Linked DNA regions of Callithrix jacchus. The protein of the gene in region 1 interacts with the protein of each later gene in a pairwise test. Links are inferred from orthologs where the notes say so. Each region holds a gene or a part of one and is shown in the gene's direction. Other genes may lie near its edges. The genes, in order: PRKAA2 and CCNB1IP1.

Evidence for each region.
Region 2: the proteins of PRKAA2 (region 1) and CCNB1IP1 interact in binary tests that used the Homo sapiens proteins (3 or more experiments, as listed by UniProt). The two-hybrid records come from large-scale screens. The link is inferred for Callithrix jacchus from reciprocal best matches to the Homo sapiens genes PRKAA2 and CCNB1IP1.

Annotation. Positions count from the first base shown.
Region 1 is NC_133508.1:93,780,805-93,784,625, forward strand, and holds part of PRKAA2 (5'-AMP-activated protein kinase catalytic subunit alpha-2), read left to right. Parts: intron 1-2,776; coding exon 2,777-3,281; intron 3,282-3,821. UniProt on the Homo sapiens protein: Catalytic subunit of AMP-activated protein kinase (AMPK), an energy sensor protein kinase that plays a key role in regulating cellular energy metabolism.
Region 2 is NC_133509.1:55,055,263-55,059,793, reverse strand, and holds the start of CCNB1IP1 (E3 ubiquitin-protein ligase CCNB1IP1), read left to right. Parts: upstream 1-1,543; 5' UTR 1,544-1,569; intron 1,570-4,531. UniProt on the Homo sapiens protein: Ubiquitin E3 ligase that acts as a limiting factor for crossing-over during meiosis: required during zygonema to limit the colocalization of RNF212 with MutS-gamma-associated recombination sites and thereby establish early differentiation of crossover and non-crossover sites.

The DNA of each region.
Region 1 (3,821 bases):
TCCGAAGACCCCTCTGGAACTTGTATTTCCTAATTTTTCCTTTTAAGTGTCTTGGTCACCTTTTCATTTACCCAGCTTTCACTGCTGCTTCAGGCATGTTAGGATGTTAGACAGTTGCCATTGATTTTTTTTTTTTTTTTTTTTTAAGCAAGTGCCCTGGGGAGAAGGCTGTTTGTGAGAGTAAGCTCTGAGTCAGGTCACCTAAAAACCAGGCTTGTGAGTGGGAGATTTCCAGAGAACTGGTAGGTAAGTAAGATAATGACAGTTCTCTTATGGTCGGAGTTTTGGGCAGCTATATACTATTCTGTTCTTCTGTTTTCCCCACCCCAATGCCCCAGTGGTTGTTAAGCTCCTGGTTTTCTCAGCTCTGTGATTATGAGGCTGTTGCATTTCAAGGCTGCCATGGAACTGGACAAAGGGAAATGGACATAGGACAACTTAAAAAGCCACAAATCTCACCTTTCTTACTGAAATTCAGCCATTTTTCTTGAATAGACAGTCTTCAGATTGTTGCAAGCCTTTGATTAATTTCCAGGGTTCTGAAAAAGTTGACTTAGACTGTTTTTACTGGTATTTTGTTTTATGAAATAATAGATTTTTTGAGTTTATTTTGGTGAAAGTGTTTAACTTCTCTACTTGTCATTTAAAAAATATTAGGCAATAAAAAAAATTCTCAAAAAAAAATTAGACAAGTAACATAATTTTTTTGTCTTTTGTTACTTCTTTTGTAGCTGGGTGTGGTGGTGCACACTTGTAATCCCGTGTACTCAGGAGGCTGAGGCAGGAGAATCACTTGAACCCAGGGGGCAGAGGTTGCAGTGAGCCGAGATCACACCACTGCACTCCAGCCTGGGCAACAGAGTGAGACTCTGTCTCAAAAAAACAAAAAAAAAATAGAAAAGATCTATCTCAGTTATTTTTATTGCTAAACATTAATAGGTGCTTAATATTATTGTATAGCAAATAAACACATGAATGAATTTTTGTGTTCATACTTTGTCTATTCATATATTTATTCAGCATTTATTGAGCATTTACTCTGTACTACATAGTGGGATAGAGCTAAATAAGGTGTGGTCACTATTTCAAGAAGCTCTCAGTTTAGTGGGCAAGATCAAGAAAAAACAACTATAAGAATGTGTTGTGATAGAAAAATCTAGTAGCTGTAGAAGTTTTATCTTTGTACATATCCTCAGGGGTTGACACACCATCATTTCTCACTTGGACTATTGCAACTAGCGTCATCATCATCATCAACATTTTTATCTTTTCAATTCAGTTTTTATACCACAAACAAAATGATCTTTACAGAAGGATAATTAGGTTATATTATCCCATCTCTTTAAAATCCTTCAATGATTTTTATCAACCACCGGTTCAAATTGTGAGATTTCCTTTTTATAGCCTCCAATTCTTAGAAGTATCTGATTTCATTTGGCACTCATCTCAACTCATTCTGCTTTCATGATGTTGAGCTCATTCCAGTTCCTAGAGCACAGCACAACTCTTGTTTGTCTCATGGTTTTTGCACATAATGTTTCTTTTGCTGGGAATATCTGTTCCCCAACTATTGGCATAGCTGACTTCTGATCATTCTAGTGTCTGCTTAAATATTACTCAGAGTGGCTTCCCTGATCACCCACTTCTCATTCTAAATTAAACACTCTCATTTTACTCTATGCAATTTCTTCTCCAATATTTTTCTCAGGATTTGCATATTTGTAACTATATTTTCATGTATATTTGTTTAATCTCTATTCAGCTAAAATATAATCTTTGTGAGGAACAGTATTTCTTTTTGTCCATGGTATTTCCTCAGTAAATATTTATGAATAAATTAATCAGTGAATAGAGGACATTCAGTCAAAATATATCTTCATCTGCATTTATCTTATGGGAAGCCCAGTTCTACCAGGTAGGAATAATCTTGAAGGAGTAGTTTGTATTAGATGAAAAGGGTTTGACATTCTAGGATAACAATAGTAACATCAAGTGCAAAGCCCCAGAAGCGTGAGAAAATATGGCTTAAGAAAGCAGTTCTCAAACTTTTTGATTTTAGAATTCCGTAACTCTGAAAAATTATTGAGGACCTCAAGGGGGATTTATTTTAATGTAGGTTATATCTATAAATATTTACTATATTACAATTAAAACTGAGAAATTAAGAAAACATTTAATTTATTTAAAAATATAAACCACTATATGTTAAATAATACATCTTTCATGAAAAATAACTATATCTTCCAAAACAAAAAATAATTGTGAGAAGAGACATTATTTTATATCAAAGACAGCTAGGTTCTCATACCTTCTTCATTCAATCTGTTGCATTATTTCGTGTAGTTGAAGTGTGTAAAGAAGGTATGATCTCAGATAAGTGGTTGGAAAAGGAAAACATTTATTAACACCAACTTTATCAGAAAGTCTTTAAGTATTGGGAAGCTGTTAAACACATACAAATAATACAAAATTTTAAAGTTTTTATTGAAAGCTTGAATTTTATCATTGGCAACAAATATTGCTGGTTGTTTTCCTTAAAGAGATGGCCTTGCTTTTTTCATTTTTGAGAGAATGTCATCTGAATGCCCAAGTCTTTATAACCATAGTTATTCAATGGTAGTGGGTAATTAACTTGCTCAGGGTTACATAGCTAGTAAGTGGCAGAGCTAGGTATAGAGACCAGATCTTTTGGTTGTATTATGTTGTATTGCCCTATGTCTAAATTATTTGGACTTGCCAAAGCATGTCTTACAATAGTGTATTGTGTTTTTCCTAGAGAGCATGAATGGTTTAAACAAGATTTGCCCAGTTACTTATTTCCTGAAGACCCTTCCTATGATGCTAATGTCATTGATGATGAGGCTGTGAAAGAAGTGTGTGAAAAATTTGAGTGTACAGAATCAGAAGTAATGAACAGTTTATATAGTGGTGACCCTCAAGACCAGCTTGCAGTGGCTTATCATCTTATCATTGACAATCGGAGAATAATGAATCAAGCCAGTGAGTTCTACCTCGCTTCTAGTCCTCCATCTGGTTCTTTTATGGATGATAGTGCCATGCATATTCCTCCAGGCCTGAAACCTCATCCAGAAAGGATGCCACCTCTTATAGCAGACAGCCCCAAAGCAAGATGTCCATTGGATGCACTGAATACAACTAAGCCCAAATCTTTAGCTGTGAAAAAAGCCAAGTGGCATCTTGGAATCCGAAGTCAGAGCAAACCATATGACATTATGGCTGAAGTTTACCGAGCTATGAAGCAACTGGATTTTGAATGGAAGGTAGGAAATTACAATGTATTAGGATCATTTGTAGAAGCCATTTTTCTATATGATAAGCTGCTCTGAGCTGCTGAGTTGAGTATTAAGTGCAGTTTTTTCTAGTAATATACCATGCACATTAAAAACAAACAAAAAAATAACCTCTAAGGATGAAAACCAGTTGATGCTGGAAACCAACATTTTGAATTATAGTGTAGTGTTCTTGGTCAAGAAAAAAGTAATCAACTAGAAATCATCTGAGAAAACAGATTACTGGTTTCAGCATGCATCAAAGCGTTGGAAAATCATGAGTGTCTTCAAAGATAGTATGTTTTTACTTCTTTTTTTAGGGAGGTTTTTTCTTTTTTAGGGGACAGAGGCAGGTGGCTGTGATAGCTAGTAATCAATACAAATTATACCATCACACATATTTATTCAGTCAATAAACACTTTTCTCTAAATTGTGATATTCTCTCTTATTTGGCTCGTGCTTTTAATGCTTCTAGTACATTTTCCTTACTCTCAGCCCAAAGTTTACTCTTCTTAAAAATAAGTGCTCAA
Region 2 (4,531 bases), on another chromosome or scaffold:
TTAGCAGCATTCCTGGTTTATAGTAAACATTCAAGAAATGTTTTGACTTTGAAAGTTACAATAAATCACTTATGGAACAACAAAGTAGCATTTGATGTTAAATATTGGGAAATTTGGGGCAGTTAAACTCTAAAGTGGATTGGAATAGGTAATAATTTCTAGTAAGGTGGAAGCAGGGTGAATAGGATGAAATTATTTAAAAATGAGAACTGTGAGTTAGAATTGTATCATTTCTTCTTAGAATTGTATACCTTGAATCTTTATACTTCAAATATTTGCACATTACATGTATATTTGTACCTATAACATATATTTGTATATGTATTCCCTATTATATACTATAATGGTACTTATTAATACTACTAATACTAATGATGATGAATATTGTGCTAGTGAGTCCTCTAATTATGGCTTAAAAAGAAATCTTTCAGCTTGGGCACCATGGTGAAACCCTTTCTCTACAAAATATACACAAATTAGCTGGGTGGGGTGGTGCACGCCTGTAGTCCCAGCTGCTTGGTGGGGTGCTGAGGCAGAAGGATTGCTTGAACCTGGGAGGTCAAGGCTGCAGTGAGTCGAGACTGGACCACTGCACTCCAGCATGGAACACAAAGTGAGACCCTGTTTCAAAAAAAAAAATTTTTTTTTTTAACAGACTAAGAACATACACTTTAACTGGAGGAGGATGTTAGGAGTCAAAACAATTGCTTAATCACTTATGTCCTCAGCACTGAAGGTCATTGTTTTGGTCTGGAGGTGTGTAAAATGTACACTTTGCTCTCTAATTGTTTATAGTCTACTTGGGAAGATAAACCTAACAAGAAATATGTAATAACAATAACGGCTAACATTGTTGAGTACTATGCACCAGCCATGGTACTGAGTATATAAATTATTTTACTTAAAACTCACAACAATCAGAGTAGGAAGATTTCATAATTTTTCCCTCTTTTATAGTTGAGGAAACTGAGGCTTAGATATGTGCAAATAAGTGGCAAGTTTCGGATTCAAAATCAGCTAAATTTTATTTAAAGCCTAAAATACTTAACCACCTATCTTTTATCTACTAAGCTTGTTAGTTCAAAGATTACCTGAAGGTAAATTTTATCAATACAGCTTTGGATTTTGGGGAAAAAAAAATGAAGGTAAATTTTAACTTGAATAGATCTAGACTGTTTATAATGGAATTTGTTGCCTAGCATCAATTGTGACCATACTGAGGTCACAAAGGATAAGAAATTACCCTTAAGAGATGAAAATTCTTTGGAATAGAATGCAGTAGCCCACACAAACAGGAATGTGCATAAATAGCTTAAATTAGCCTGTGTTTGCATAAGGACATTAACTGGAAAGGAAACTTGGTTTAAGAAGTTCACTTTAAAAATTGTGCAAGAAGCATCACTGGTCCATAAAGAGAGAAGGGTGGAGTGGGTTACGTCATTTCAGCACCTTTTAAGGTAAAGGAGGAGGGAATCCTCTTGAACTCATTAGCCAATTAGGTTCTGAAGACGCTTCTTAAGGCCACTTCCTGTCTCTCCACTTTCTTTCCCTCTCCGTTTTGGTGGGCTGGTGAGTGTGCACTTAGTTTTGCGCTCTTTAACTGTTTTGAATTTCTCTTCATTTATGCCATATACCCAACTGGCAGGCCTTTATTTCAAGCCGGCATTGGAGTGTGTGTGAGTCGCAAGGCGATTAATTTAGGCTCTGTGGAGGTTGGAAGAAGACAGTGAAATGCTCTGCCTGGCTTGTTTCCACGTGGGCCTCTGCAGTACTGGGGTTTGCCTTCTTTCTCTGAGTCCCGGTGACCCAGGAACAATAGACTCTGCTTCATGTGCACAGTGCGTGTGTTCTTGGAAACGCCCAGCTTTATTTCGCTGGGAGGGAGAAATACTGTTATCATCCCAATGCTGTTTTGATTTGTATCTCCTTGGGTGAGGTCAGATCTTGGGAGAAGGCGTTCAGCTCAGTAGATTTTAATTCTCCGGAGAGTGTCTAGGAGGGACCGGGACCTTACTGGGTTTATGAAAGCTGCAGCGGATCTTGTCTTTTTCCTGGCCTTAGCTCAGATCTTTTCGGCTTTCTTGGTGAACCTGGGCAGCAAACTCTGAAGACAGATAAGCCCTAAGAGGAGCTCGTAATTTTTAATGTTGCCACAGTGGTGAATGTGGCCTAAAAAGCTATGGAAAAAGATCCGGGGACCTTAGTTTCGGGCAAGCCTGTAGATTCAAATTCCAGCGCCACAGTTTACAGCTCTGGTGACCTTGGGAGTGGCAGTGAGCCATTCCCAGGCTTAGCTTTCCAAGATCAGATAAATATATAAAAACTAGGCCCTACGTGGTATGTAATAAATGTTAGGTACCTTTAGAAGTAAGCAGTACTTATTTATCATAGTATTTTGGATATCTGTTTTCTCATAAAAAGTTTTGTCTAGCGACCTCGAATGTAATTTCACTGCATTTCTTTTGATACATGTTAGTTTTTATATGATATATGTGTTGGGTATCCTTATAGGTAGAAAGCATGAGAAAGACAAATAAACCAGTTAATTGAATGTAGTAATAGGCATTTGCAGGCCTCCCATAATTTTTATAATTCTCAAGCAGTTATAATTGATTTTTTGAATAGGTAATATATTCACATGGTTCAGAATTCCAAGGAAATCAGTTTCTTATCCCCTTCCCTAAGCCATCCAATTCCTCTCTTGCATAACAGTGTTACTAAGATATTTTATGCATGTAAGCAAATATGTGTGAGTATCCTTCCCTTTTTCTATATCTACTCTACTATATGTCTTACTTTTTCCACTTAATAAGTAAGTGTCCACATTCTTTATAATGGTAACAGTATTCTCTAAAAATTTTTTTTCAAAAAATATTTTTTATTTCAAAAGGTTTTTGGGGTATAATGGTAACATAGTATTCTACTTTATGTACATGGCATAATTTATTTAGCTTTTATCAGTAGATATTTAGATAATTTATGATCTTGATATTTCTCCCTAAATGAATGGCTTTGCAAATAAGTCAGTTGGCATATAGGCATTTCAACTGGGTTTTAGCATATTCTTGTTTAAAAGGAATCTAGATATTTTGCAGAGCTTCCTATTTATATTTATTTAAGTACACATAGTGGTGATTAGAAACTAATCAATACTTTAAATGTCTTGATTGAACAGTAAAGGATTTTCTACCAAAAGCAGGATCATCTTGATGGGGTTTTTTTTTTTTTGAGACGGAGTTTCGCTCTTGTTACCCAGGCTGGAGTGCAATGGCACGATCTCGGCTCACCGCAACCTCCGCCTCATGGGTTCAGGCAATTCTCCTGCCTCAGCCTCCTGAGTAGCTGGGATTACAGGCACGTGCCACCACGCCCAGCTAATTTTTTGTATTTTTAGTAGAGACGGGGTTTCACTTTGTTGACCAGGATGGTCTCGATCTGTTGACCTCGTGATCCACCTGCCTCAGCCTCCCAAAGTGCTGGGATTACAGGCTTGAGCCACCACGCCCGGCCCATCTTGATGGCTTTTATGTGGGTATATATTTATCCACTTTGGTTTGACTAGGGGATGGTTTATCTTGTTATGAGCACAAGTTTTTTTTAAAATCTTTTTTAATTGTATTTTTTTGAGCATATGTTTAATGTTGGGAAGGAGTGACAGCAGTGGCCGAGAACAGCCAAGTCATCTGTATTCAAAGAGACAGAAGGGGCATACTTTCAATGTTTTCTTAGAAAATGTGTGCTGGATATGCCCCTCAACTTACGGTGTTGAGGGAGTAGACCCATTTTAGTATTAAGTTAGGAAAAGCTGAAATATGTTTTAGGATATAGACATGCAAAATAAAAAATGAGACTTTGGGAATTTCTCCAAAGCTGTTTCAGTCTTTAGTTCTGGTTTTTTAGGTGGTAATTTTGTGAGTTGGGAAAAAATTAGGTTCTTTCCAATGGAAGCTTCCTTTTGTTAAGAAATAACTTTATGGCGAGGCACGCCTGTTAATCCTAGCACTTTGAGAGGCCGAGGTGGGCGAATCATGAGGTCAGGAGTTTGAGACCAACCTGGCTAACATGGTGAAACCCTGTCTCCACTAAAAAGACAAAAAATTAGTTGGGCGTGGTGTTGAACGCCTGTAATCCCAGCTCCTGGGGGTGCTGAGGTGGGAGGAGGAGGTTGTGGTGAGCCGAGATCGTGCCATTGCACTCCAGCCTGGGCAATGGGAGCAAAATTCTGTCTCAAAAAAAAAAAAGAGACACAACATCTTGGAGTTGGAAGGGCCCTTATGAGTACTATATGAGTGGCCTTTCTGGCTTCTGGGCTATTGTCAGAAGAATGAATTTTTGTTTTTGTTAAATTTGTATTTATTGTAGATTCATGGGGTACAGGTGCAGGTTTGTTACAGGGTATATTGCACGATGCTGAGTTTTGGGCTTCAATTGATCCTGCCATCTAGGTAGTAAACATTGTACCCAAAAGAAGTTTTTCAGCTCTTGCTTCTCTCCCTCCTTCCCTCCTTTTGGAGTACCTAGTGTTTATTGT